Linked DNA regions of Stegostoma tigrinum. The protein of the gene in region 1 binds, or shares a complex with, the protein of each later gene. Links are inferred from orthologs where the notes say so. Each region holds a gene or a part of one and is shown on either strand. Other genes may lie near its edges.

Evidence for each region. Proteins that work in one complex are often made in the same cells at the same time.
Region 2: the proteins of fibronectin-like (region 1) and collagen alpha-1(I) chain-like are in contact, whole or in part, in a crystal structure (PDB 3GXE), measured with the Homo sapiens proteins. The link is inferred for Stegostoma tigrinum from reciprocal best matches to the Homo sapiens genes FN1 and COL1A1. Residues at the interface, in NP_997647.2 of Homo sapiens: Asp516, Gln517, Lys533, His535, Glu537, His539, Leu541, Gly549, Arg550, Gly551, Arg552, Trp553, Lys554, Cys555, Pro557, Gln560, Phe569; in NP_000079.2 of Homo sapiens: Leu261, Pro262, Gly263, Met264, Lys265, Gly266, His267, Arg268.

What each region holds. Positions count from the first base shown.
Region 1 is NC_081360.1:11,863,003-11,873,594, reverse strand, and holds the start of fibronectin-like, read left to right. Parts: upstream 1-6,097; 5' UTR 6,098-6,322; coding exon 6,323-6,437; intron 6,438-9,549; coding exon 9,550-9,678; intron 9,679-10,518; coding exon 10,519-10,592. UniProt on the Homo sapiens protein: Fibronectins bind cell surfaces and various compounds including collagen, fibrin, heparin, DNA, and actin. Fibronectins are involved in cell adhesion, cell motility, opsonization, wound healing, and maintenance of cell shape.
Region 2 is NC_081384.1:21,096,706-21,107,636, forward strand, and holds the start of collagen alpha-1(I) chain-like, read left to right. Parts: upstream 1-5,792; 5' UTR 5,793-5,932; coding exon 5,933-6,014; intron 6,015-7,682; coding exon 7,683-7,877; intron 7,878-8,624; coding exon 8,625-8,641; intron 8,642-8,741; coding exon 8,742-8,765; intron 8,766-8,888; coding exon 8,889-8,933; intron 8,934-9,381; coding exon 9,382-9,483; intron 9,484-9,594; coding exon 9,595-9,666; intron 9,667-10,053; coding exon 10,054-10,098; intron 10,099-10,313; coding exon 10,314-10,367; intron 10,368-10,682; coding exon 10,683-10,736; intron 10,737-10,931. UniProt on the Homo sapiens protein: Type I collagen is a member of group I collagen (fibrillar forming collagen).

The DNA.
Region 1 (10,592 bases):
TTATTGTCCTTGAACAGAGTGGCCTGCTCAGCCACTTGAGCAGTTCAAAGTCACCCATAATGTTGGGGGTCTGGAGTCACATTTAGGCCAAGCTGGTTAAGAATGGCAGATTGCTTTTACCTAAGGAAGGTTAGTGAACCAGATGGGTTTTTATAGCAATAGATGATCGTGGGTGTGCCGGTCAGTGAAGCTGCTTTTGTATTCCGGACTTTTTTGTTTTACTTTGTTTAAATTCTACCAGCAGCAGATGTTACCCTGATCCTCTGGATTACTAATCCAGCAACATTCCCACTACACCACATCTTCACCCTCAAGACTCCTGACAATAGTCTGGGACTCCACATGATGTCTGAGGAGGCATGGACCATTCCAGCCCACTCGATCATTCAATCAGCTTGCGGCTGATCTGGTAATCCTCAAGTCCTATTTCCTGCCTTTTCCTTATAACTCTCGATTCCCTTGCTAATCAAAATTCTGTCCAAGGCAGACTTAAATTACCTAATCTCTGAGGTAAAAACTTTCATAGAATCACTACTATCCGAGAGAAGAAATCCCTGTTTTAAATGGATGGCCCCTCACTCTGGGGCAGTGTCTTCTGGTCCTAGGTTCTTCCACAAGAGGAAACAACCTCTCCTCATCCATCTGTCAAGTCCCCTAAGAATCTTGCATGTCACCTCTCATTCTCCCGATGATCACAGGCCCAATCTATTGAGCCTCTCCTTCATAAGACAGTCTGGTATCAGCCTAGTGAATCTTCTCTGGACTGCCTCCAATGCCAGTAATATCTTTCCTCCGATAAGGGGCCTGTTCATTAGTACTCCAGAGATGATCTAACTAAGGCTTTGTACAGTTTTCGCAAAACCCCCCTACTTTTTTATACTCCATTCCCTTTGAAGTAAATGCCAACATTTCATTTGCCCTGCATATTACCCGATCAACTTAGTTTTTCATGATTTGTGCACAAGGATTCACAAATGCCTCTGTGCTACAGATTTTGCAGTATATTTCCATTTAAACAACATTCAACTCCTCCATTTTCCTGCCAAAGTGCATAACCTCACATTTTCCAACATTATATACCATCTGCCAAGTATTTGGCGCCTCACTTAATCTGTCCATGTTCCTCTGTAGACTCTTTGTGTCATTTCCCACTTTCCTTGTCACTCATTTTTGTCTCATCCGCAAACCTGGCATCAGTACAATCCCTTCCATCATTAACATTATATGTAAATAATTGTGGCCCCAGCACCGATCCCTGGGGCACTCCACCAATTATGGGTTACCCCCCTAAAAATGACCTCTTTATTGCAACTCTGTCTTCTATTAGTTAGCGGATCCTCTATCCATGCCAATATACTGCCTCCAACTCCACGGTTCCTTACCTCATGAAGTTAACTTAAATGTAGTACTTTACCGAACAACTTTTGGAAATCTAAATATTTTACATCCACTGCTTTCCTTTATCCATCCTGCTTTGAGTAACAGATTCTGATGATTTTGCAGGCGTGACTTCCCCTTCATGAAGTCACGCTAACTCTGCTGTGCATTTCTAAATGCGGTGCCTTTGCATTCTTTATGATGGGTTCTAATACATTTTTTCCTCAGACCAGAAACGTTAAGCTAAATGGCCTATCGCTGACAGAAACCAAAATAACTGTGGAAGTTGTAAATCAGAAACAAAAACTGAAATTGCTGGAAAAGCTCAGCAGATCTGGCAGCATCTGTGAAGAGGAATCACAGTTAACGCTTCGGGACGAGTGACCCTTCCTCAGAACAGCCCTCTAATTGCCTGCTTATTTGTCTCCTACCTTTTTGAGTAAGGGTGTTACGTTGGCTGTTTTCCAGTCTTTCAGTATTTTTCCACAATCTAACAATTTTTCAAACATTACTCCCTGTGAAAAGGACAAACTCTGTAGACTTCTGAAGACGGGTCTAGACCCGAAACATCAGCTTTCCTGCTCCTCTGATGCTGCTTGGCTTGCTGTGTTCATCCAGCTCCACACCTTGTTATCTCACCGTCTCTGCAGTTACCTTCTTTGACATCCAGCACGTATCCCATCAGAATCAAGAGACTTATTGCCTTTGGGCCCATAAGATTCCCCAGTACATTTTTCCTCCAGTGATAGTCATTTAATCCACAATCTCCACCCACTTCCCCAGTTCCTTCATTATTTAGCATTTTTTGGAATGCTATTAGTGTCATCCACCATCCCCATGTTATAAGGAGGATCTTGAGGCACTAGAGAAAATGCAAACAAGTGCTTCTAGAACTGCTGTGGGGTGGCACGTTGGTTCAGTGGTTAGCATTGCTGCCTCACAGCGCCAGGGACCCGGGTTTGGTCCCAGCCTCGGGCAACTGTCTGTGTGGCGTTTGCACATTCTCCCCGTTTCTGCGCGAGTTTCCTTTGGGTGCTCCGTTTTCCTCCCGCAGTCACAAAGATCTGCAGGTTAGGTGGATTGGCCATGCTAAATTGCCCCATAGTGTCCAGGGATGTGCAGGCAAGGCGGATTAGTAATGGGAAATGCAGGGTTACAGTGGTAGGGCTGGGTCTGGGAGGCACGCACTCCAGAGGGTTGGTGTGGACTCGATGGGCCAAACAGCCTGATTCTAACCAACAAGCCATATGCCTCAGGGAAGGTTTCGAGGCTGGAGCTGGTCTCCTGTAGAGGAGGGGTGGCCTGTCTGTGAATAGGAATGATATGGGAAAGACATTGTCCTTTGTGGTAAGTTTAAATATAGGGCTCACAAATATGAGTCATTAATTAGACAGTGATTCATTCAGAGAACATGGGAACCATGGCCATAGGGACTGGCTGAGGTGAACAGCATTTTTGGGGTACACTGATGTATTTTGAAGCAGTTGTTACGATACACCTCTGGAACAGGCAGGATCTGAAACAAAAACAGAAATTGCTGGAAAAGCTGAGGTCTGGCCGCACCTGCAGAGGGAAATCAGAGTTAACATTTAGGTTGAGTGATCTTTCCTTGGGATCTGAACCTGGGTCCCCTAGTCCTGAGGAAGGGACACCATTACTGTGCCAAAGTAGAGCACACATCACATTTAGGAAGAGAGACAGAAGACTTAGAATCGTGGCGTCATTGAGTCATACAGCACGGAAACAGACCCTTCGGCCCAACAAATCCACGCTGACCACAATCCCAAACTAAACTAGTCCCACCTGTCTGCTCTGGCCCACTTTCCTCCAAACCTTTCCTATTCACGTTCTAATCCAAATGCCTTTTAAACATTGTAACCGTGCCCACATCCACCACTTCCTCAGGAAGTTCATTCCACACGCGAACCACCCTCTGTGTAAAAAAATTGCCCCTCAAAAGTCTTTTTTAAATCTCTCTCCTGTCACCTTAAAAATGTGGCCCCTAATCCTGAAATCCCCCATCCTAGGGAAAACACAACTACCATTGACTCTCCCTGTGTCCCTCATTGCTTTATAAACGTTCATAAGGTCGCCTCTCAACCCCCTATGCTCCAGTGAGAGGGAGATTTTATAGAATGTTAAAAGAACAGCTGCGGTTGAATGGTGTCTAAGCACTAGGTGCCGGCCTCTGCACTTTTTGGCGATGTAGCAGTGTGGTTTGGTAGTCTGTCTTTGAGCGAAATACCGATGGTGCTGAGTTATGGTCATATTACTGAGGAGAGTGCGAGATTAAAACAGGGTTAACCTGGGCTTCCAAGGGTCCGGTTGCCCTCTCTGAGTGACTCAGCGACCGATTAAAGCATGCCTTTGCTAAGTTATGTTAAAATGGGTGTTAAGAGAGACGGGATGAGTTTCTTGTCACGAAATGCACATTGATAAGCACGGATCCCCTTTTGTTCCGGGGTTGGGGTGGTGACTGTGGATAGTTAGTTTTGCAGAGAATGGTGTCTTGTGGGCCGGAGGGCAGCCTCACTGAATATGTCCAAGCCCGACAGGGAATCACCACTCAATATACTTCGGCAATCCGTCTTGTCCCCGGCTTAATGGTTAAACAAGGCGGCGTCCCCCTTCTTATCTGGAGTTCCTGGCCGACATACTGAAGCACTGACGCTTCGTCCTTCAAACATGAATCATACACTTAACACAAAATCAGAAGCTCTGCTCCCCGAGGCATTTTACTTAATTTGAAGTGCAGGAACCTTACATTGTTTTTGGACGTCCCTTCCCAAATTCAAACGTAGAATAATAATGAAATTCGACAGAGCCTCACTTAAAGAGGCGTTTGATTTTAAGGGTTTGGTTTACTTTTTTTCTTAGCAGCTCTTGCCGTCTCAACTTTTTTTTCAAAAAATTATTTCCCCCGAGTCTCTCTCAGCCTTCACATTAGGAGCAACCCCGAACTCTTCCACAGATGCTGGCCAAACCTGCTGAGTTTCTCCAGCAAGGTTTTGTTTCAGATTCTCCAGCGTGCTCAGTCCTTTTGTGACTGTTGTGGCATCGTCCTATCATTGGTAACACACTGATTTTTGTCTTTAAGGAAAAAGGTACACTTTGCACATTCAGTTCGTAGGAAATCTCACTGAAATCGATTTAACTCTTTGTTCCTCCCTGCACAGACCTAGTGAGTACCCCGGCAGTTTCCGGTTTCATTACAGATACCCCAAACATGCTGCTGTAAATTTGCACCTTTCGGGAGGATGCGAGTACTTTACAAACAATGGAACACTTTCGAGGTGGAAATTTGTAACATTTCATTTTCTACCAGGTTGCGCCTGGGTCAGTGCAGAGTTTAGAGCGGGTGAGAGACCCAGTGTAAGAGGGAGCATTGTGAGAAGACAAGTCTTGGAACGGCAAGAAAAAAGAATGCAGGAAATAGGGAAGGCTACAAGGGAAACCGACATGTTTCAAATTGGGATGACCTTTAAGGGTCAGGTCATCAATCTTATACATTGACTGTATCTCTCCACAGATGCTGCCTGACCTTCTGCGTTCTGCTTCGCAATTTTTTGTTTGCTTTTTCCTACATCGTCCCTGGTATTTCACCTTTGTTTTCGAAAAAAAACAAAAAAAATTCTCCCGCGTTGTGCGCATCGAAAGCAACTGCAAAAGCGACGTTTCTAACGCCCACGTTTTAAATAAAATAAACACTGCAAACGCTCGGAGAACGAGTTCAAAGATGCAATGTCTGGCTCACACTTCCTAGGAGCGAGTGTTTATTGCACATACGCGGCGGGAAGGTTGTCATTCGGTTATGATTGAATACCAAGTCTGTCTCATTTTATGTCTGTATACCCCCTCCCCCCAACCTCCTTTGTCTCCGAATCCCCACCTCCACCTTTTTTTACAGAAGACCAAGTTCATGTAAAATTCACACAAGGGTTTTTTTTAAAAATCAGCTTAGCAAGTCATATTTGGACAAATCTGTACCTCGTTTTTGGATTCAGTGAAGACAATGTTTGCAGATCTCGTGGAGGATTTGTGTGTGTGTGTGTGTGTGTGTGTGTCGGGGGATGGGGGGAGGGCGGATGACTTTAGAGATGTTTAGGTATTAACTCAAACATCCCTTCGTCTTGTTGAGGACTTAATTCGCCGCCTCGATCACCCATTGACATTCAGACTCTCACTTCGCCTCAGATTTGCTGCCCCTCCAGCTGGTAAAAGGAGCCTAGATTAGGTGTACCTTTCTTTCCAAAATAAACAAATTAAAAGACTTCCAATCCTTCCCAGCAGTGATTTGTCAAGTTACAGTTCAGTAAAATCACTCACAAGTAAACAGCTCGCAAGACAGAAGCTGAGCTCAGTTTAATCATGTGTTTTCCTTTGTTGCAAATGTACAGAGTATTTCAGTCTCAATTTCCCGTTTTTAAAGACGAGCGGTGACTCACTTTACAGAAAGACTACCGTGCCTTATGAGGGATGTCTGTTGTCTCATGCAGGCTGCCTCAGGGATGCAATGCCCCTTTAAGAGAGATGCCTGGTGTCTGATAAGTGTCTGAACTGGCTGTTTTTCACCCAAAGTCCTCAGTGATGTCAGAGGCAGACTTGTAAATATTATTGATGTAGCTTAAGTGAGACCCCTCCCCTTCCACAAACTTCCAAAGGTCCACCCATCCTGTCCGGGGGCTGTACAACGTTATAAAGAGGGCTGCAGAAGCAGGCACTCGCTCGCTCACTCACTGGCCAAAGGTGTGCTGAGAGGTTCTGTCTCCCTTTGGTCTGGTTTCTTCTGTCCTTGTCCCTTCCCTCCCCCCCCCACCCCCACGCCAAATTCTTTCTGGACCAGTCCCTCCACCCCCTCTCCTTTTCAACACGGTGGGGTAATTGTCAGGCATCTGGCTGTCTTCGGCGAGCTGTGAAAGGGCGAGGGGGAGCTGGTGCCTGGAAGATGCACCTCCCCATGCTCGGGGTCTTGTTCCTGGCCGTTTGTCTGAGTGCAGCCAGCGGTCAAGCAGGCAAAAAGAGAAGGCAAAGTCCGTACGATGCAAATACCCAGAATCAGAGTAAGTCTTCCAGAGGAAGAGAATCTTGTTGAAACTTTTAACATGCATTTTTCCCCTTACAGAATGTGTTCAAACTCTTTCTAGACCTGTGCTTTAGAACGTTCTGCCGGCACGTTGCTTCTGGTTCTGTCCTTTAATGACTAAATGATGTCCAGATGCTGATTCCGAGACTTAAACCAGGGGTGCATCGAGTTTTGCCGATGGAGCGAATGCAAATTTCGTGATCTCGTCGATAGTTTGGCCGTGTGGTTTATCAAAATAGCCTTCGAAAGAGCTAGTACAGGCAGTAGGGGCGGAATGTCTCCTGTGGTTCAATACTGTGTGTACATGAGGGCATATAATACATTCTGACCCCTTTCTGCCCTTTCTCTCTTTACGCCAACCACATTTTGAAGTTTCCATTGCAGATTTTAAGAACAAGGGCATGAAACGACCTTTCTCCCTCTCTCCACAGATGCCTCCTAACTACTGGGTGGTTCCACTATGCTTTCTCCTGCATCTGAGGCGTGTTGTGTTTTTTTAAAATGCTGCATCTTTCCAAAATTTGGGGTGTGAGGAAGAAAGACAAATGGTTTCTTTGTAATCTTCACCCCGCTAATCTGGGGAAGATGTGATTTTAAAAAAATACATTGTGTGAACCTTTTGATGCAAACATCCAAGGGGTCAGAATGCTGACTATTTAGTGGCTGTTCAGCAACAGAGGCCATCACATCCTGTCCCACTGCACTCACTGAAGGAGGGGAGTTCCGGGGTGGGGGAGGGGAACAGGATTAGGGAGTTTAGAAACCACTCCTATATGTTTCCTAAATTGGGGTGATTGTAGTTTATATCACTTTTTGCTTGAGGAGACTCCACAGGTTAAAACCAGCATCCATCCCGAGCTGCTTTTACATTAGAGTTTAATGTGTAAGCTGAGAATGTACCGAAGAATTCACCTACAGACCCATTCAGATGGGTGGATGGTCTGGTGGGATTTTTGTTGTGGGTTAGTTAGAAAGAGCTTTACCAGCTATTTTGAAGTTGTAGTTTAACTTAAGTAATTCCGAACGAGGTACAACCGCTTGGCTAGAAACCTGGAAGGGGTTCCTTGGAATTGTTGAATATTTAAGGCATAGAAAGAGACCATTTGATGCTTCGTGTCTAGATTGACACTTCATGAGAATGTCATTTAAATATGCCACTCTTGCCCCCTTTACCCTGTATTCTCTCACCTGCCTTCAGATAATGAGGTGGCTCAGTGGTTGGCGCTGCTGCCTCACAAAACCAGTGTGTTGGGTTCAGTTCTCACCCTTATGTGACTGTGTAGAGTTTACACATTTTCTCTGTGTCTGTGTAGGTTTCATCAGGGTGCTGTGGCTTCCTCCCACAGTCCAAAGATGTCCGAGTCAGGGGGAATGGCCTTGGGACATTGTCCAGGGCTGGACAGGCTAGGCAGATTAGCCATGGGAAATTCGGGTTTACAGAAATGGGATGGATCTGGGTGCGGTGCTCTTTTGAGGATTGGTGTGGACTTATTGGGCCAAATGGCCAGTCTCCACACAGTAGGGGATTCTGTGATAATGATCTAATGACCCACTTGAAAACCACAATTGAATCTGTCCCCAGTGCATTCTCAGGGGGAGCATTCCAGATCCTATTCACTTGCTGTGTGAAGGAAATTTCCCTTGCGCCGCCGTTGCTCCTTTTGCCATCCATCTAAAATCCGTGTCCTCTGATTCTCGATCTTTCAAACAGTCCCTGTCTGCTCGGTCCATATCCCTTGGGATTTTGAACACCTCGAACAGATCTTCCCTTAGCCTGCTCCAAGACTCCCAAGATGTTTGATCTCAGTGTCTCCATGTAACTGAAAGACTCTTTTTCTTTGAAACCATTTTTGTGAATCTTTTGCATTCTCTCTCATGCCTACGTGCTCATCAGGTCTGTCGGTATTTGTGAGGGGAAATAATATGATTTAACTCTAACACATTTTCCTTAAAATCAAACTGATTTTACAGTCTGGTTCTTTGATGGTTGCATCCTTTATAAGGAAAGAGTGCGAGTTGAAGCTGCATGTCAAGGTCCTGTTTGACGTGGGACTGAACGATGTAATCCTAATGGAAACTGGAAGATGCTTATTTATCAGAGCTGATGAGCTTATGCAAAAGCACAGCAGTCGAAGATACTGAAAATCTGAAGTAAAAGCAGATGATAGGAAAGGAATGGCTCCCATGGAGAGAGAAACAAGAGTTCGGGGTGAACTCCCCACAGCCATTGAGCCTCGTAATCTCAAGCCAGTGAAAATCATAATTCAGCTTGTGAGTGGCTGCATTTGGCAAGCAGTTGAGTTTTACTGGGATAGTAGGAACTGCCAATGCTGGAGAATCTGAGATAGCAAGGTGTAGAGCTGGATGAACGCCAGCAGGCCAAGCAGCATCAGAGGAGTAGGAAAGCTGATGTTTTGGGTCGAGATCCTTCTTCATAAAATTTTGCATGAGAGGAACAGGAAGGCTGGTGTTTTGGGTCGAGACCCTTCACGTCAGTTTTCCTGCTGCATGGCCTGCTGTGTTCATCCAGCTCTACACCTTGTTATCTGAGTTATACTGGGCCACTTTCTTGGGGTCGCTTTACTGCCTGCACTTTCTCGGCGCCTTTCTTGCTCTCAGAAGGTGAGTAAGTGCTCAGCAGGAGATCCGAGGGCCAAGAGGTGCATCTGCTGGGTTTACTTTGTGGAGACAAACAGGGCGATGCCACATCCTGTAAAATTAAGCTGCGTCATGCCAGTGAATGGGCTTGTGACTAATGTAATTGCCCCTGGGTCCTGAGTATTTCTTTGTTGGGAAAATGCAGCCTGTTATTTAAGAGTTAATGACCCTTCCCCAGAATTGATGACGAGCCTCTGAAATACCTATGATTAACTCTTGCTCTCTCTCTCTCTCTCCCCCTCCCCCTCCCCCCTCCCTTTCTCTCCCCCTCTCTCCCTCTCAAGATGACTTAGTGTTCCATGAGTTGAGGGTTCAGATTTGAGACATCTTTCCATCCACAGATGCTGAGTGATATTAGTCTTGCAATGCATCTAGTCTTTTGGGAACTATTTAATTGATGTGTGTGTGCTTTCTCTGTCTCTCCTGTTCAGATTATTGTTTAGACAATGGAAAGGTTTACCATGTTAACCAGCAATGGGAGCGTACATACATGGGCCGTGTGATGATCTGTACCTGTTATGGGGCAGGGCGAGGTTGGAATTGTGAATCGAAGCCGGATGGTAAGTTAACAGTTAAGGAGCCAGTGGCGCTGCATTCTTAATAATTAAACTTTGCATCTAGCACCATCTCCAAACTGTACACAGTCCCTATCCAGAGATCGAAAAGTAGGTGTTTTATAACGAGGCTATCAGCATGTTAACTAATGTGTATTTCGGTATCGGCGAACTAACCCAGTGTGTTACAGCATTGATATATTAACCCAGTATGTGACAGTGTCAGCATATTAACCCAGTGTGTTACAGCATCAGCATATTAACCCACTGTATTACAGCACTAGCAAAGTGACCCAGTATGTTACTATATCAGCATATTAACCCAGCGCTTTACAGCAGCCTCAATGTGTTGTTCCACGTATATCAGCACCAGTGCTGTCTAATCATATTGCAGTCAAGTGCATTGCAATAGAAGTGAAGGGTCTCAGTGTGTTTTAGCATTACTGTACTCTTATCGATGTTAGGTGATAATCCATCACATCACCAACGGTGCTCCACCTCCTAAAATACAGTAGTGACTGCACCTCATTGGCTGTCAAGCACGGCGAAACCTTCTGGAATTGTGAAAGGTGCAAGCGCTTTCATTTTTGATTTCTGCATTCTGTGCCCTCGCACACGAAGAGGCCAGGTCTTGTGTATCTCCCTTCAGCGCAGCCTGATTGCTGGATGTCAAACAGGACTTCCGTAGGTGGCACTCAGAGGCCAGGCTCACCAGTTGAGACTGGCGTTATACCCCTCAGGAGTGCAGTCAGAGGTGGGCTGGGGCTCAGCGGATAAGACAGTCATTTCAAAACTGAAAGAATCTCCCTCCTGAGCCTTGACATGTGTTTCGATTCATTTGTGCAGTCGAGGAGATGTGCTACGACCAGTACACTGGGACCAGGCAACGTGTCGGTGACACCTGGGAACGCCCAAAGGAT
Region 2 (10,931 bases), on another chromosome or scaffold:
GACTGATTTCTACAATGAGACGGCTATTAAATGAGGAGAGATTGTATACAGTGGGCCTCTGCAATCCAGAATTTACAGAATGAGAGGTGATCACTTTAAAGCATATGAAGTTCATAGAAAGCTTGACAATATTGACACTGAGAACTTTACGGAGCAGAACTGGGGACATTAATTTCAGGACAAGTAGTTGGTCATTTCAGATTGGGATAAGAATAAACATCGCCACTCTGGAGGTTAAAAAAAATTTGAAGTTCATGACCATTGATGAGCATCAATAAGTATATCCAAGACTGAGATTAACAGACTTCAGACCACTAAGGAAATCAAGTGATATGAAGATAAGGCTGCAATGTGCAGTTGATGGACAAGCTCAGCAATGATTTTATTCAACAGCAGAGGTTTGATAGTTCACACAGTTAATTGTATGTCACTTGTATTTAATTATGTGCAAAGGGAGAGCATTCCATGAGGGTTTGTTGGATTGCATATAAGGAGATATTGATAAAATAATCAGTCATGTGGTTGCGTTAGGCGTTATGTGCTTCTAGTGTAATACTCAGTGAATAAAAAAAAAGAGTAAAAACTGGCTTCCATATCATCCTTCCACAAGGGGTTGCAGAAATACAACACCCATAAAATATTCCTGCTCATACTGCTTATGTTCTTGAATTGAGTTGAGGTACAGATTTGCCACAACATAACTGAATGGCAGAGAAGTGCTGAAGGCTTGGATGGTCTATTGTGTTCTAATGCTATCCATCAATTTCCTACATCTAATGAGAAGGTAACTAGTCTGGTGAGGTGGTCTTGTAACACAGTAGTAGTATCCCTGCTTCCGAATCAAAGGCCTTGGATTCAAGTCTCAGTCCAGGATTTGAAGATCAAGAAAAGTGCACTCACAACACAACCAAAAAGGATACATTCCGCATCCACAAACAGCAGGCAGGAAAAGCTGGAGAAATTCCTTGTCAGTCATACAATGGAAAGATACTGGAGTTGTTACCATCATTTTCTAGCAAACCAAAAATTTATGTTGCCATGTCAGCACTGGATTTAGGAACCTCCTCCCTGCCCTACGCCTGGTGAAAGTTCTAACATAATGGGTCAGACCTGCTCTTGGGCAGGGAACTCAGAAAGAAGTCTAGACTCAATTGGAAAATTATCATATTTTACTTCCTATTAGTCAAGACAGTGATTTGGCAACAAATCCAACTTGATAATGGTAATTGTACAGCACTAACTTTGTAATTTTAGTGGTCAAGGTTATACTCCACAGAATCAAAGAGTTATTTCGGAGCAGAAGGAGGCCATTCAGCCATCGTGTCTGCATCAATACTCTGTGCATTTTTTTTCTTTGTGCCATTCTCTTGCTTCTTATGTGTAGCCCGGAACATTGGATGATTATTTAAATGGAAAATGTTCTCTTGAATGCCTCAATTCAATCTGCCTCCACCACACTTCCGGTCGTGCATTCCATATGCTAACCACTCACTGTGTGAAAAGGTTTTTCCCACTTCACATTTGTTTTTCTTGCAAAACACTTTAAAACTGTATCCTCTGGTTTTTGATCCATTTAACAGTGGGAAGCAGTTTCTCCTTACCCATTCTCTCTATATCACTCACAATTTTGAAAGCTTCTATCAACTCTCCACTTAGTCTTCTCTCCAAGGAAAACAGTCCCCACTTCTCCAAGCTTTTCGCTTGGCATATCCATAGAATTATATTCATAAACCTCTTCTGCACTGTCTCCAATGCATTCATACCCTTCCTCTGCTGTGGAACACAGAAATGCACATAATACTCCAGCTGACCTCTCACCAGAGTCTCTTGTCAGTTCATCATAACCCTACTGACCAACTAGACCCCCTGCCCTTGGTTCTCTATGCCCCTATTCACAAAACCCACAACAGTATATGCTTAATCTGTACCTACCCTGCCACCTTCAATAACTGATGTACATATAAACCCAGATAATAAAATGTGAGGCTGGATGAACACAGCAGGCCAAGCAGCATCTCAGGAGCACAAAAGCTCATATACAAGAGCACATATAAACCCAGATCTTTATGCTCCTGTATAACATTTAGAACAGTACCCTTTTTTCTGCATTTTTTTTACCAGAGTGTATTACTTCACACTTCTCCACATTGAGCTTATCCTGATATCAATCCACCCACTCCTCCAATATTAGTGTTGTTTTGGAATTCTACAATGTCCTCCTCACAGTTTACGATTCTACCAAATTTTGTGTCGTCTGCAAATGTTGAAATTACCCCTGTACACAAGATCTAAATCCTTTGTATATCAGAAAAAGAGAAACTCCCAGCACTGACCCCTGGGGAACTCCACTACAAAACTTCTTCCAGCCTGAAAAGTACCCACAATTAGTCTTTCTCCCCTATCTCCCAGACAATGTTGCGTCCATTTTGCTACTGTTCCTTTTATTCCATAACCTATAAATGTAGTCACAAGGCTTTCGTGCGGCATGGTATCCAATGCCCTTTAAAAGTCCACGTGCACCACATTAATACTGCGCCTATTACCTCTTCAAAAATCTTCAGCTAGTTCGAATCAATTTTCCTTGAACGAGCGCATGATGACTCTTCCCAAATAACTCAGTTTTGTTCCACGTGTCTATTAATTTGATGCCGAATAATTGCTACTAGAAGTCTTTCTCCCCACCACCGAAGTTAACCTGACTGGTCTAAATCACTCCAAGATATTCTGTAATCAAGTTGCGCAGAAATGATATGGCATAGGTCTGGAGCACGTCTCAAGCTGGGCTTGCTTCGCTCAGAGCTGGGGGATTCTGCAGAATCGACTCCAAATGGCAAGGTGGTAGTTTGTAACAATTGTGCTGAGACATAAGAAGCAGTTTGGTGGCTCAGCTAAGATATGCATAAAGTATTTCAGCTGTCTTTTAAAGTCGAGAAATATAGCAAGTTGAAGTTTTACAGCAGCGTTTGGTGCAAATTTGCGTTTGAGTCATGCACGGTGAAGCGAGGGTCAGGGAAGGGGAAATGTAATGATGAGTGTGACCCATCTGCAAGAGACCTGCCCTCTTTCGCACCGCACCTACTTCTTCAAGAGCACCACGTAGACACTGCGAACGGCGACAGGGGTTGCTAGCACCGTTCGATGGGAAATGGTGTTTGCACCAAATAATTTAAAAAGCATCATTGATTTTAATTCTCCCAAAACAGCCCGGACTCAAGAACGATATAGTGAATTTAATCGGAATCCTTAACTATTTTCTTTGCCTACTATTACAGTGAATACCATAACGCCATAGAGCCTGACATTCCTGCCTTTCTTCTTTGGGATCCAAAAAAACATGTTAACTAATTCATCCCATCTGCAACTGGAATAGTGTTGATGTAAGCGAGTTTAACGCATCCCAGATGTGGAGCTGTCTACTCGGTATCAGAAAGAGAAATCACTGAGCAGTTCGGGAGAATCTTTTCAATGTTCATATTTGGGTTGTTTTGGGTCAGGAATATAACTTCAACAGGAAAAAAATATATACGTTTCTCATCTTTTTGTTCAGATTTGATCGACTGAGGCGAACTAGTGATTCCATCTGGTTTGTATAAGTGCACCGAGCCCTCCCCAACTGTATTGAATTAAACATTCACCTCCGACTTATATAAACTAAAAATTGACCCTCCACCCACACCACCTGTAGAACCTTCTCCCTCAGTGGTCTCAATATAGAAAATACTGCTCCTCCGAACAATTCTTCCATCGTTACGTAAGGGAAGCTGGTAGAGAAGTCTCCTGAGGTCGAGCTCAGGGGCTTCAGGCTAATCACTGTGCGGGGAACTGTCAGTTCAGGCAAAGACAGAGAAAGGGGACCACTTCTAAACCCAGGATACAGCGATCCGTTGCGTTTTATGCCACTCGCCAAACGCAATTGAAGCACAAGCCCAGGTGGATGCAAGTCTCAAACGTGTTAATGTGCGCAATAAATCAAAGTGGAAGGTGAACACAGCAGTTGTGATGCTTTTAGTGTGACAACACAATTATTCGCAGGTATTATTACATTCAAAGTAGCACACCTTCTAAATACTGGGAAATCTCCTATCGCCCCACCCAACACTGTCTTGGAGTGCACCGTTCGTGGTAGGAAACGTGCAGCCCACAAGGAATTTTGCTCAACTGCTTCTTGATGATCTTTTCAGCAGCGCTACATGGTTACCACATACACCGCGGGCTTTGCAAAAGCGTTTTCAGACGTGTCACCAATTCACCCAACTATCACAGAGTGAGCTAAACGAATATATTAATACATCGCCCGTGACTTGAAACCCCTGCTTTGGTTCTGTCAAATCCTCCACGTTATGAGAAAAGGATTTCGTAACTGGGGGAAAATTTAGTGTGTTCGCTCTGGGAGTTCCCTTTAGCTGTTGGTTTGTTCTGGAACGAATTGTCACTTTATGTCGTTATTTTTTAAACCTCTAAAAATAAGAAAGTTGAACTGTTATCATTTTATGTGACTTACTGAAACATTGCTGCTTTTCATAAAAATTACAGTACACTACAGGTTTCGATCAAGCGTCACATCCCAAATTATTAAATCCTGGGAGCAGGATGATTCGGGGGCACGTTCATTTCGATGTCGTTTCCTTTGGGAAAGAAGCAACCACATACCCGTCTCTCTGCCACATCTCAACTTTCCAACTCTCCTCCCCAGCCCCCACACCAGGTTATCCTTACGAAAATAAGAGTGCTGAGGCATGAAAAAAAAATCGACATCCTCACAGGTGTTGTTTATAAAGTAACAATCAAATAGTTGCAAACAAAACAAAAACACAGAGCAGCCTAATTCGTTGTCATGCAATGCTAGCAAGGTGCAAATGTTTTAGCTGAAACCAATCGAGTTCCGCTCGGGGAATCATGCCACTGTTAAACCCCTCAGGTTTATGACCTTTCGGTTTTTATATTTCAATTCTAATGCTGCTGATTGAAAATTGCTATTTCAACAGCAAGTCCATGATTACAGAGTAATCTCTTTGTTAGATTCACACTAGGCGACGGGTGATTCCATAAGGGGAAATAAAATGCAGAAAAGTGATCACAACATTGACAATTTGACTTATTTCTGCGTTTAAATGTGTCTCATCTAAAATCCGGGAAACATTTGATTTGGATCTTTTCAAGTCTAGTTTCTTGGAGGTTTCCTCACCAATTACTCCCCAACTTTCGTGTTTTTCTGAAAAAAAACTGATGAGTTGGCGTATCAATAAAAGTGATTACGTGTATGTTGGTTAGGAAGAGCTAAGCCGTTCCTTCAGTTGAAAGTTTTCCAGCCCTTCTTTGACCCAGTCATGCTTCAACGTGTCTCTCTGCTCTGTAACAGCCTCTGAAACGAAGCCAATAAAAAAAAAAGTGCCTTTGAAAAATGATGTGCCCGTGTCTGAAGAAGAATAGGTTTTAGGAAAAGAATTATGGTTCATCAAATTAAATGGGTCTTGCGTCGGGGTTAGGGCGGGGGGGGGGGGGTGATGTATAGAGAAGGAGGCAGGGCATGGAGTGCAAGTATGAGTCCAACAGCCACATGGCGGTTCACACCAGCCATCCAGAATTCCCTCTTCCCACCCCGATTGGAGGAAGGCATCTACGTACATGTTAGTGGATGGTCAGAGACAATTGGATCCTGCCGCAGGCGGGGACTTTGCCGGTTTCCAACTGGAGGAGGAGATTTGTTTGGTGGCGGGGGGGGGTCACTGGTGGAGATGGGCGGCAACTATTCACACCTCCAAAGCCTGGCACACATAAAAGGGCAGGCGATCTGCAAACGGAACAGTAGGAAGTTTCTGCTGGGGCTCGGTGCTGAAGCTTGGAATTACACACCAGAACCATTGCATGTCCGGACGTTAAAGAAAGTTTCCCTTTTTTTACCCCAAAGAGTCTACATGTCTAATATTTAGACATGTTCAGCTTTGTGGATACGCGGACTTTGCTGTTGCTGGCAGCAACGTTAGTGGTGGGAAGATGTCAAGCGGACGATGACAGTAAGTGTTCCTTTCTCGTTTTCCTTCTGTTTCGTCCTGAAGAACTGTTTCGAAAAATCTCCCGTCTATCGCCCGCTTAAGAGGCGAACGCTACGATCGACCTAACGGGAGAGGGATGCACAACTTTGAATTCTGTTAAAACTTTGCAAAGAAAGCTCTAATGTGAAATTGACTTGCAGGATTGTCGATTGAAAAAATGTCAGGCAACATTTTCCTGATGTTAGCTTCAGACGGTAATGTTTGGAGCATTCCGAAAGCTTGTTGCGTTTTGTTCGAACTATGCAAACGATTTGAAATAGATTACCGCAACGATTTTCCTTTTATGGAATGGTTTTTCGATCTCTAAGGGATGGGTGCATTAAAAGAAACTACATTTGTGTATTACGTGGCTGTCAGACTGTCTAACTTCTCCGCCAGCCCACAAGAATTGCAGTATCCACCCCGTTTAAGAAAGGGAAACAGAACACAGACAATTGTTGGGACCATATTAGTTGGAGTGAAGGAGTCTCGACCAGACAATTGGTTGAAAGCAGCTGCCTTTGATAGTGGGTGTGTCACTTTGGAGCAGATCCTTTGTGGCGAATTTCGAATAAATTGGGTCCAAATGGAAAATAGTGTCAAACAGATGGAAAACAGAGCACAACGCGAATTAAAATACACTTAAAATATTATTAAATTGAATAAAATGCATAAAGCGGTAAAATCTGGGTTTGAGTTTTAGTGATTTTTGCCTAGTTCTGTTTAGTTTGCAGCCACAAATCGATTTTCAGACATAAGGTAGCTTTTAAAGAAAATCGAAATTGTTCCAATTCCGAAAATTAGCGTATTTAAAGTTCAAGCCAAGAAACGAAGTTGTTTGAGGGGAAAAAAATGTCCGGTGTTCGGAATAGAAGCAATCCAGATGTTTAGACATTGTTTTCAAAGCCAAGCAAGTTCTGAGTAGCAGTCCAGTGCTGTGGCTTAACAGCGCCATCTCTAGGCAACATGTTAAAATGGTAGCTATTGTAAACTGGCTTTTTTTCCCCAAGACAACCAGGATCTTCTAATTTAAAACAGACAAAACTGGCGGAAAAAGCAACTCAGCAGGGCTGGCAGCGTTTGTGGAGAGAGAAAGAGTTTAACGTTTTGAGTACGATATGACTCTTCGTCAGAAATCCACTTTAACTCTGATTTACTCCACCACCACATTAACAATTCTGCACGGGACGTGTTTTAAATGAAACTGCGTACCATTGACTAAAAAATGATTTGAGTCGGATGCACTTTTGTGCGGTTTACTGCAGTGCTAAATCTGAGGTGGAGCTTGAGCGCCATCTGTTGAATTTCTCGCCTGATAATCTTGGCTTGCGAGCTTGTGTCACTAAAGCAACGCCTTTAAACTAAAGACCAAAATACTTGGTGCATTGTTAAAACTTAAATGTCGAAAATTCTTGTATTCCATACAGGTCACAATGTCAAAAGTGCATGTTCTTTTTAAATTGAGGAGTAGTGTTATCAGTTCTATCTTAGGCTGTTTGGGATACAAAATAAATAGCTCAACATGAATCTGCATACAGTTTCTCGTCCCTTTGAAGTTTGTCACTTTTTCCCCCAAAGGCGTTCTTGCCTTTCTGCCCATTAGAGGGCGTTTGGTATCACCGCGGTTGATATATCCCGTTTGATTCTCAGATAGCGGACCTAGCTGCTACAAGGATGGAGAAACGTTCGAAAACAAGGATATCTGGAAACCCGAACCCTGCCTGATTTGCGTCTGCGACAATGGCCGGGTCCTTTGTGACGAAATAATCTGCGAGGAAACCATCGACTGCCCCAATGCCGAAGTGCGCGACGGAGAATGCTGCCCCGTCTGCCCCGAAAAAGATCGTGAGTGTTTGCTGTGGTCCCTAGTCAATTGTTCGAAGGCGCCTTTAAGTGCTCTCCGCCAGCCACCTGACAACTTATATCATCGCCTTACATTCCCAAACTCAATTATCAACAGCAATGTAGTTTAGGAAAAGGTAGCAATAGTTGCTGCGCGGCAGCAACTGGAAGTGGAATGAAGTATCCACTCGAATGGACAATTCTAAACATTGCTTTTTAAACCTAGTGACAAAATACACATTACGTTTGAAAGCTTTAGGTGAATTCACTTCAAAACCAGTAATGATTACATTATACTAGTCCGTCAGCATTTATGATTTGCAGGAAATGTTTTGCCATTTCATGGTGAAAGTGACAGTGAACGTTAAGGGGTTATTTAACACAAAAGTACCACAGCCACAATAAACAAACCGCTTTTAATTTTAATTTAATTGAGTGTCTTTGATTTTTTTAAAAACCCAGGTTATTGTCTTTTTCTGAATCATTTGATCTGATAGAGGTTTTCTTTAAACCAATTTAAGCATTATGGGTTTTAGCTATGACATCATTGAATGATTCAATGAACATGTCACAGGCCCAAGTAGAGCAAAACCGGAAGGAGTCTTAGAAGTAATTTCCTTTTGCACTCTCCTCCCTAAAAAACATATGTGCAGTAAATAAACTATAAGCTGTTTATGAGCAATAATTACAATGCTTTCCGTTGTTTTTGAAAATGTGTTTATAAATTAAGCTCTTTTTATTTTGTTACAGCAGAAGGTGGAGAAACAGTAAGTACATCATATTCACTTAGACAATACAACAATGAAATATTTACATGGTTACTTGTAACACATATCCACACACTGACTTATTAATTTTTCTTTCCAGTATCCCTCTGGCCCTGGTATTCAGGTAAATAGAAATGCTTTTTATTTCCAGGTTAACAAAAGATATTTTAAACACACAGAAGTTGAACATTTATTAACTTTACCTTTATTTGCAATTTTAATTGTAATACAAATACAATTTTTTCAGGGACCTCAAGGCCCCAAGGGAGAACCTGGCCCTAAGGGTGATAGAGTAAGTTGATATTTTTAAATCATCTTATTGAAACAAATGTGATAATATTGTTTCCAAACTATTAAGTCCTTGATTGTAACATAGCCTTTTTTGAAAGAAGTTAAAAAAAGTCCCAAAGGCTATCTGAAAGAAAAAAGAGCAGATGTTCATAGACACCATATGTAAAGTCTAATAAGGTTTAAAACATAGAGGGCTTGAAGTTTAATGTATTACAATCATCTACCATTAATTGCTAGTATTATCCTTTTGGGGTTGCATTAAAATGAACACTCATCCTTTGCCAACGATGGAGAGGCTTCAGGGACAGGAAATGATGGTAAACAGGAAGTGACAACTGAAGAGATGACAATAGCTAAGAGTGTTGCTGAGGCTACAATTGCAACTAAAGTGAAATGATATACATAATATTTTCTTTTGTAACAATGAACATAATATTTTGCATCTTTAGGGACTTCCAGGTTTACCCGGAAGAGATGGAATCCCAGGACCTCCAGGTCGTGATGGCCCCCCTGGTCCACCTGGTCAACCTGGAACATCTGGCCTTGGCGGAGTAAGTGACCTTCAACACTTAGCTGATGAAATACATAGTGCAATGGTTCTAAATTATTTTCAATATATTTCACAGGCTGCAGACATCTAAAATCACGTTGCTTTCTTCCAGAACTTCCTCCCTCAGATGGCTGTTGGCTTCAGTGAGAAAACATCTGGCGGTATTCCAATGCCTGGACCTATGGTATGAGCCCATCTTTCCCTTTTCCTCATAATATATATAAGGTGCAACAATGGCCCTGCATAGGTTATAAAATTTTATATCAGTTTGACATTTCTGAATTAAGTAAGTTATGTGTAATCACCTGAGAATGAAGAGACGTAGAATTAACTTTGAACTAGCGTACTGAAAGTGTTTAACATTGAATGATTTTGAGTATTAAAACTATTAATTTAAGATCAAGGAAGAGTAGAGTCAATTGCTTGAGGACAGAGATTAGTAGATGCATGTGTTTTTAACTTTTGTTTTGACACATTGTTATAATTTTATTCCAATTTAAGGTTAAAAAAACAAGTTACAAAGATCCATAAAACTGTGTACCGTTTTATTAACATGTTGTTTATGTTCTAGGGTCCAATGGGTCCCAGAGGACCTCCCGGCCCACCTGGTGCACCTGTAAGTACACAATTGCTTTTATTTTCCAAAAATGTCAGTTGATTTTTGACTATTGAAGTAAAGGTTAAAAGTTAATGGAGTTAATACTTACCTAAAATGTTAATCAATTTTCAATTAAAAAGGAGAGCAGAACTTAAACTGGAAAGCAATATAGATTCTGAGTACGCTGAAAGACCATAATTATTAAAGTGTGGTTTACGTTGTTTAATCATTAGGGTCCTCAAGGATTCCAGGGACACCAAGGAGAACCTGGTGAACCAGGTGCACCTGTAAGTACTCAGTAAACTAAAAGCCACTCTCTTCTTTAAGAGCACCATATTGATTCACGTTAAATTTGTTTTAGAAACATATAATTTCTACTTTATAAAATAATTCCCCTCAAGATGGGATTCTTTTTACCACTTGATGCTTTGTGAAGATAGTTTACAAATGTACAGATGCTGGGAATGAAAGCCTTATGACACCAGCTGACAGTTTCACTAACAGATTGCAAGCCTAGCCATTTAGAGCAGTGAACTGCAAGACACCAGTTCCTTGTGTTTACCATGTCTTAATATTTTCACTTTACAATTTCAACTCTTCAGGGTCCAATGGGTCCACGTGGTCCTCCTGGCGTTCCTGGAAAGAATGGTGATGATGTAAGTAGCACCAAACGGTCTATAAATGTACTTAGTAAAAAAAAATAAAACAGTTAGGTACTTGCTTTCTGCTTTTGGACATAGTTACATGATACATTCAGCTTTAATTTCACAAATCTACTTTTGACTATAGAATCCCTTCACCTCTGCTAAACTGATTTTATGGCGGAGCTATGTGTGAAAATTAATAGCATA